Solanum lycopersicum: one gene and its partner. The protein of the gene in region 1 binds, or shares a complex with, the protein of each later gene. Links are inferred from orthologs where the notes say so. Each region holds a gene or a part of one and is shown on either strand. Other genes may lie near its edges.

What was found. Proteins that work in one complex are often made in the same cells at the same time.
Region 2: lethal leaf spot 1-like protein (region 1) and pheophytinase, chloroplastic share a complex: the UniProt entries of both Arabidopsis thaliana proteins name them as parts of the SGR1-CCE-LHCII complex. The link is inferred for Solanum lycopersicum from reciprocal best matches to the Arabidopsis thaliana genes ACD1 and PPH.

Annotation. Positions count from the first base shown.
Region 1 is NC_090810.1:57,602,841-57,606,999, reverse strand, and holds the start of lethal leaf spot 1-like protein, read left to right. Parts: upstream 1-1,338; 5' UTR 1,339-1,427; coding exon 1,428-1,847; intron 1,848-1,940; coding exon 1,941-2,176; intron 2,177-2,506; coding exon 2,507-2,633; intron 2,634-3,506; coding exon 3,507-3,643; intron 3,644-4,053; coding exon 4,054-4,159. UniProt on the Arabidopsis thaliana protein: Catalyzes the key reaction of chlorophyll catabolism, porphyrin macrocycle cleavage of pheophorbide a (pheide a) to a primary fluorescent catabolite (pFCC). Works in a two-step reaction with red chlorophyll catabolite reductase (RCCR).
Region 2 is NC_090800.1:78,700,327-78,704,657, forward strand, and holds the start of pheophytinase, chloroplastic, read right to left. Parts: upstream 2,823-4,331; 5' UTR 2,526-2,822; intron 1,996-2,525; 5' UTR 1,961-1,995; coding exon 1,238-1,960; intron 889-1,237; coding exon 662-888; intron 369-661; coding exon 177-368; intron 78-176; coding exon 1-77. UniProt on the Arabidopsis thaliana protein: Alpha/beta hydrolase dephytylating specifically the Mg-free chlorophyll pigment (pheophytin), yielding pheophorbide. No activity on chlorophyll. Belongs to the chlorophyll catabolic enzymes (CCEs).

The DNA of each region.
Region 1 (4,159 bases):
TTGATTAGATATTAGTTTTGCTAGTTATTGAAGTCACTCTAGATTTCCCCTTTTTCTTTCTATTCAATGAAAAGAGATAATAATGAGAGTCTGTTGAAACTGGCTCAGGAGAAATTAGCATGTTTGAGAGTGATCCAGGAGCACCCTAGCTGGCCTGGACACCATTGTTATCGAAAACTCTGGAGGAAATTTGCATGTTTGAGAGTGTGATCGAGGAGCGTCCTATCTAGCTTGGACACTACTGTTTCAAGAAAAATTGTTCTTTTAGAGATTTTCAGATATGTAAGTGTGATGTTGCTTTATTGTTCAGAAACAACAATATGTAATATGCTGCGTGGAACGGGGCTAGAATTTTCAGTAAGAAGTTTGAAAATGAGGGTAAAAAGAAAGGGAAAATTGAATTTTTTTTCCCCCCCTCTTTTTAATGATTTGGTTTAAATGGAAGAAGGCACTTACTTTCATACCAAATTCAAGTAAAAGAAAAGGAAAACATTGGTGGGAATTGGGAATAGAACTAGATTTTTTTTTATGAATAGAAAAAAAAAGCAAAGAAGAAAATTGTTGCTACTAGGGCGTGTTTTGACATATTTTCCATATTTGGTTGGTGAAATCTTTTAAGAAAATGACTCTTTTATTACTGTACTGTATTGTTAAATTTATTATTAGATAACATTGAAAAATTTTTATTTTGTATAATCATCAATTTGGTGTGACTGTATTATAATTTTATTTTTCTTTCTTCTCATTTTGTTTAATAATTTTATTTCATCTTTTTTTCGATCTTAGATCTATCTTATTTTCTTGTAAGTATTGATTATGACATTCAATCGATAACGATAGGATATATTAATATATTTTTATCAAAATAATATATAATGTAATATGCTACGATATGATATATTATGAAATTATACTAAATAACTTATCTAAATATTGTGACATTTCAAGATCATTTTCTTTTCCACTCCTTAGTCCTTACTCCAAACACATGTTAGAAATATATTTTTTTAAAATTTTGAGTTGAAAGTGTGTAATAGAAATATTTTGCTATTGACATTTAACCATTGATTTTATCTCCTCTTTACTTTCACAATTATTATCATGTGTAACCTAATCAAATTTGAATTTGTGTCACGTTGAGAATAAAGAGCTCTCTAATAAAAATACGATTCCATATTCGAATGAGTCAAGCCTAAGAACTCTAACCAAATAAAAGAAGTATTTACCACTCCGCGTTAACACGGTCTCTTCTTCTCCCTAAAGCACCACCACCACAGCTTTCATTTTCTGGGCCCTCCCTCACAAACCACAAAACTCATCAAATTCCAATTCAAACACATTGTTCATAACTTGCACGCAAATCCTTCTTCTTCTTCTTTACTTGAACATATGTGTATTAGTAACACAAAACATTGATTAACTCAATAATGGTTTCTTCTCTGTTACTACCAACTCCTCAAATTCTTTCAATTTCATCTTCCTTACAGTCTTCACTACCTTTCAAACCTCATAATTTTCTTCAAATTACAAGGAAAAAAAATACGCTAATTTCATCTCCTCTTAGAGTAGCTGCACCTCCAACAACAACAACAGCTACTGAAGAAGAAGAGAAGCTAGATTCAAAATCTAGTGATATTGAAGATACAGAAAATGATGAACAAGATTCGTCGTCGAAATTCTCTTGGAGAGATCATTGGTACCCAGTTTCATTAGTGGAAGATCTCGACCCGAGTTTACCCACACCGTTTCAGCTACTGAATCGTGATATAGTTATCTGGTTTGATAAATCTGGATCTCAGTGGGTTGCTTTGGATGACAAATGCCCTCATCGTCTTGCTCCTTTATCTGTACAAATCCACTTCTCGATTTTGCTTGAGGATACTTTTTATATGTGTTTTTAGCACTCCTCTTTAAAGTTTTTGATGTATGGGTGTTTGTAGGAAGGGAGATTAGATGAAAATGGTGATTTGCAGTGTTCATATCATGGATGGTCATTTAATGGATGTGGTTCTTGTACAAGGATACCTCAAGCTGCATCTCAAGGACCTGAAGCTAAAGCTTTTCAGTCTCCAAGAGCTTGTGCTACTAGATTTCCTACTATGGTTTCTCAAGGATTACTCTTTGTTTGGCCTGATGAAAATGGATGGGAGAGAGCTCAGGCAACAAAGCCGCCCATGTAAGTTTCTGAATAATTAATTAAACTAGTTCGAAGTTATGCTATATTATTATATATTAATCTCTACTATAGTGACTTGGTTTATATTATAATACTAATCGATTATCTTTAGTACAATGACTTGCTTAAAATATGTTCTTCGTATTTTATTTAAGCTATTGCTGGATAATGAGATTGATTTGGTAGCTCACTTGGTTGATGCCCTGCATGTGTGGTTGAAGAATCGAATCCCATTCCCCTACCTATCGCGTTGATCAAGATATTATAGTTGGTAGACTTGAGTATACTTTTAGTGGGATTTAAATTTGTTGTTTAATGGGATATTTGTAGGTTGCCTGAAGATTTTGATAAGCCTGAGTTTGCAACTGTGACAATTCAGCGTGATTTGTTTTATGGCTATGACACTCTCATGGAGAACGTCTCTGATCCTTCTCACATTGATTTTGCACACCACAAGGTATTTTTTGCAACATTTTCATTCCTTTTTGGCTTCTAATATAGTTAAGAATCCACTTTCAGACCTAAGGTTTTATCCTTACATGCTAAAAATGAATAGTCTTCAGGGTTAGTTCTGAGTTCTCATAAGCTACGGGTTGTTTGGTTTTTGATTTCCATGAAAATATGAACTCAAACTGTTTCACATGTGAAAAAAGTGAACTTTTGAACTCTTAAGCCAAGTAGCTCGCTGTGCTTGGCCAAAACATATATAAGGTCGTTCCTTGGAGGATTTTCTCTTTATCTGGAACGGTATAAAGGTGTAGCTTTTGAGTGTTGCTCATTGTTTTATACAAGTTTTCATAACCTTACTTTCTGTGCAATTATTAGGTAAAAGCCATACTTGGAGAGCAATAGGTAGAAGTACGCCATGGGAATCTTAACTATCACTCTTATGACTTCAGTGCTACTTTTATCAATTTATGGATAGTTTTTCGATCTTACCATCTTAAAAGATGAAGCTGATAGGATTAGGCTATCCGGAGTGTGGATGCTGAATAACATGTTTTGACTCTGGATGTTGCTTCATATTCAGCTGACAGGATTAGGCTCTCTGGAGTCTAGATACTGAACAGCGTGCCAGACGATCCTTAAAATAACCTTTACAGACAATGTTGTGTGTATCTATCTGTAAATATAAATTTCAGAAAGATCTGAAGTAGAGCTTTCATCTTTTCAGTCGCTAAACGACTTTATTATTAGCAAAGGGCTTCATGTATCAGATAACAGAATACGGTGTATATATAGATGTGCATTTTTACTAGAGTGATACTGCTGCTGCTTGCTTGGTGTCCAACAACACATGTCTCTTAACTTACTTGTTGATATTTTACAGGTTACTGGAAGGCGAGACAGAGCAAAGCCCTTGCCATTCAAGATGGAGGCATCTGGACCTTGGGGTTTTGCTGGTGCGAACAATGATAAACCAAAAATTACTGCAAAATTTGTCGCACCTTGTTACTCAATGAATAAGTAAGTTCATCATCCTAAAGTAGATCAAATTTCTTGACTATCAAGGCAAGCAATCATGTATAAATTAATCATCTTTAGGTAGATATGCTTGCATCACATTTCTCTTTCTCCTACTTCACAGAGTCTGTTATCTGCTAACAAAACGAGACATTAGTAGCATTATGTATCTATACTCTTATGGTTGTGGGCATTATATCCTGTTCAAGTCGGGTTCTTTAAGGTATAGCTTTCCAGACCAGGTGCATGGTTTGTACAAGGCTTTGCGCATCAATAGATGGAAGTTCGCTTTGTTGTTGGTATACATGTCTTTATATCTTTGTATGAATTACGTTTTATATGTAAATGTTAGCTCCATCCATGCTGCAACTATTTGCATAGTATGACTAAGATCTCATTGGAAAATTTTCCAGAATAGAGATCGACACAAAGCTTCCAATCGTGGGTGATCAGAAGTGGGTGATATGGATTTGTTCCTTTAATGTACCTATGGCACCAGGAAAGACCAGGTCAATTGTT
Region 2 (4,331 bases), on another chromosome or scaffold:
GTAAACCCCAAATCGGCGTCACCCAGGGGTCTTCTTTCCCGTAAATGAGACAGACCGGTACATTGTTCATTCGACACCTAGATATAGCAAGGTGAAAGATTTCAGCTTTGTTACTGTATAAGAAAACATATGCAAGCCAAATGACACGGCTATGTAATACTACTTGCTTTACCTACCCAGTCAGTGCCTCTTTAAAATTTAGTTGTCCCTGAGGAGCGAACATTATTGAAGCAAGGGATGCAGCTGCTGCAGGGTGTTCTGTTACCTCAAGAATACTAGAGAAAACTTTATCTACTTTTGTGGTATGATCAGCGTAAACTTGTTTAAGCACCTCTGCGATACTCTCGGGAGCACTAATTTTCTGCCATCTACAGAAGCATAATGAAGCGTACAGACGGATAAGTTTGAGAACCAGACAAAACCCAAAAACAAGGATACAATCCATAATGTCCCTCTATTATATGATGAAAGAACATCAAATTATCCAAGAACGATTCATTTTTTCAGCATAAGTTGCAAAATGTAACAACACATCATTTGGTCATCGTCTTGATGCTAACCAATATAAAATGTATAGCTGGCAAGAAGATCCTATTACTCGGTATATAAGTTTATAGGATCAGGAAACTAAATAATCAAAACAGAAAGTCAGGGCACTTACACAAGTTCTGTGAGCTTTCTGATATTGGAGGGCAGAGGAAAAGTACCAGCCCATGGAAATAATCTAGATAATCTCGGAGATCTAACAGGATTAGGAAGAAATCCCCAAAAAGGCGTAGCATTCAGCAAGGTTACACCTTTCACTAATTGAGGGTAGTATGCAGCAAAGTAGAGGGCAACATATCCACCAAGTGAATTTCCCACAATGTAGACTGGTTCCTTAATAACCTGCATCACCAAAGGATACAAGTTTATAGTTTGTTCCTAGTAACCAATCAACAATTTGGAAACTTATTGAGAAGCCCATCGTTCCATAGCCTAAATCGAACAAAAATAAACAAGTAGTGCCAAAGGAACATTATTCTGGCATACTATAGCAAATTGTCAGGACTGCAACTGTAATGTACTCATAAGCCTTGTATGAATATTTTTAGTTTCATCTTCTAGCATTCATTACGAGCCAGTGTATTGAACGAACATGAATTTAAAAAACTAGCAATACATCAATGACAATGCTTAATCTACAGATCAACCAATTTTGAGGGAAAAAACACAAGGACAAAGATAGAAATTGTACCTCTTCGATGAAATAGCGTACTTGCTCCCTCCATAAGTCAATAGAATAGACAAGTTCTTTTGCCCAAGGTTCTACTTCATCCCCCAAACCCCAGAGAACATTGTTTCCATCACCTTCCGATTCATTTAATCTTTTTGACCGCGAAGTTGGATCCTCACTAGGTAATGACTTTCCCTGTCCAATAAAATCCAATGCCCATATTCTGTTATCACGACCAAGATCCTTTAGCTGTTTTTCATAGTGAAAGGAACCAACACCAAAACCAGGAAGAAAAAGTATTGGCGCGGAGTTAACATTTTGACATCCAGATTTCTCATAATGAACATTCAGTTTTGGCTTCCATTCCCACAAACAGCTATCAATCACAGCAACAGCATCGCCTTTAGCTTCACTTGGTAAACTAGGAATCATAACCTTTGGTACTGATTTACCTCTACTAGTCACACCTTCTGTACCGACTTTCCCATCCACGACATCTGTGTTATAGCTTTCATTCAAGAGACTTGAGTCAACAACACTGTCAACCCCCTTAACAGAAGCGACAGTGCAAGATCTCCGCTTCCTATTTTTCTCTACGCTATAAACATCTAAACCAGAACACAATCTTCTTTCTTTTAGTCTAGAAAACATTGTCTGATTTGAAATTAGGCATTTTTGAATCACATTCGGTTTAACATTTACAACGCAGTAATAGGGTGTCGAATAGAAAGAACAAAATTCCATCCCAGAGTCAGCTTTCTAAAATCTAAAATGAATACCTGAAATCAAGAATACATTGAAAACAAAGCATTTAGGTTGTTATCAAATACTAATAAAATACAGGAAAGTAATGCAATCAACTCAACAACAATATAGTAATTTACTTCTTCACATCTAATTATTATTACTTGGCTAATAAGATAAATCAACTAACATCATATTCTTCTACAACAACAAAAAAATTCAACCTTCATTTTTTTTCATGATGTGAACACATTTATTGAACCCAATAACTCTGGTTCAAACTCAATTTTTTTTTTTTCATTACAAAAATCCATTTAATATGTACAGTTATTAATTTAGAATTCAGTAACTCAAAAGATCTAAATCCCAAACTACAAACTTCAAATCCTGAATCTGTCAATAGATCAACCTTATCTGGAAAACGAAAAAATTGAGCAAATATTGAACCTTACTTGAAAATTCTACAACTTAAACATCCAATAAAAGCTAAAAATCAATAACCTAAAAGACCATTATTTCACAATTCCATAACAAACTAGAAAGAAAAAATTGAAAGCCAACTAACCTTTAATCAGTTTTCTAAGATAATTATGAGCAAAATCTCCAAGAGCTTAGGAGAAGTGATATGGGATTTTAGAATTGCTTTTTCTTATTCTTTTTAACATTCAGTTAGTTATATATTTCTACATAAATCTAGAGTCCAGACAAGAGATTGCTTAAAAAAGTGGGATCTATTTAGAAACCAAGAAAAAATAAAACAAATGACGATATTTAACAAAATGGTAGATTTGGGCGGTCTGGTCATGCGATATAGTATCATGATATGAAATTATGAGATGCAATTAAAGTTTTGTTTAGATATTCGAGATGAAATTTTGATATTGTATATTCTTACGTAATCGTAAAAATCTCATAAGTTTTCTAAAACTATTAAAATTGCTTCAATTGTTTATTCAATCTTATCAAATTAAATAAAAAATTATAAAATTGCATAATAAATTATTATAAAATTATTTGTTCTCCACTTAAGTAATGTTTCAATCTAAAAATGAAGCACTTTTCACGGGTTCTTCAAGATTTTATTACTCAATGATCGTGAAGTGTGACCTAAAGTGACTATATGTTGGTGTGAACAATAAATTTTAAAATGTAATGATGTAACTATAATTTTATTTACATGTAAAATAAATAGTTAGTAGATATAAATGTAGCATTGTTTTAACAAAATATAAACGTGTGGATTAATTTTTGTATTAAATATCTCAAATTATGATATGATATTCCCATATGATTCCATATTATGATTTCTAGAGAATATGAAATCATGAAATAGAATTAATGTAAAATCGCATGTCTAAATGCTGATTTCATCTCACAATACTATGATATCATATGGCCAAATGCCTACTTTAACTTATCATTATTATAAAGATATTTTTTATGTATAAAAAAGTATTTTAAAAAAATTATCATAAAAAATCATTCGCACATTACTATAGTAATTTGTACTAAAAAATTGAGGTGTACTCAATAGGGCCACCTCTGGTCAATTTTTTCAAACTTTTTGGCGTTACATGTTATTTATATGGTTATTACTCATTCCAGGGTGTTCACGACTCTATTAGGTGAGTATTTTAAAAAATGTCTTTTGAAAAATAAAAAAACATGTTTTATGAGTTTTATTTTATAATGATCGATGATTTTTTCATTCAATTCCTATAAAGGTACACATGTATAATATCTAAATGACGATAATATATTAATTTGTGCATCCTTATACACAAAAGCTAATCTAGCATGGTGGTTAAATTCTTGTCTCACACCACTCCTTCGCTAGCAACTGTGTCCCAAGTTTAATTCTAGTCACTACATTTTTGTGTTTTTTTTTTTTCAAAATAAAAATTGCATCTAGCAACTTTTATGTATATGTGATAAAAATCATCAAACCACACAATGAACTATGTTACTCATTTGTTTGATTTATATTTTTTGAGTATATACTTGTTTGGCAATATTATTTTACCACACATTGAACTTTGTTATATTTTTGTTTAATTTATATTCACTGATATTAATTATGTTTTTGACTATCTATGGATATTATAGGAGGCACATCAAAATGGAAAATTCAAAGGCAAAGAGGGGAAAATAAGCTTGTGAATAAATAAGAGGGACCATAAAAATATTTAGATAAACACCCTCGTTTATTTCATGTTTGTTTATATCCTATTTTACACACTATTTATTTCTTTATCTTACAATAAATAAATATATCCTTACCTTTTATAATAATTAACGTTTTGATTACTCAAAGTTACAAGCAGAATCTTTGCCATTGAATCGTGTGCTTTAAATGAAGTATTTAATTGTG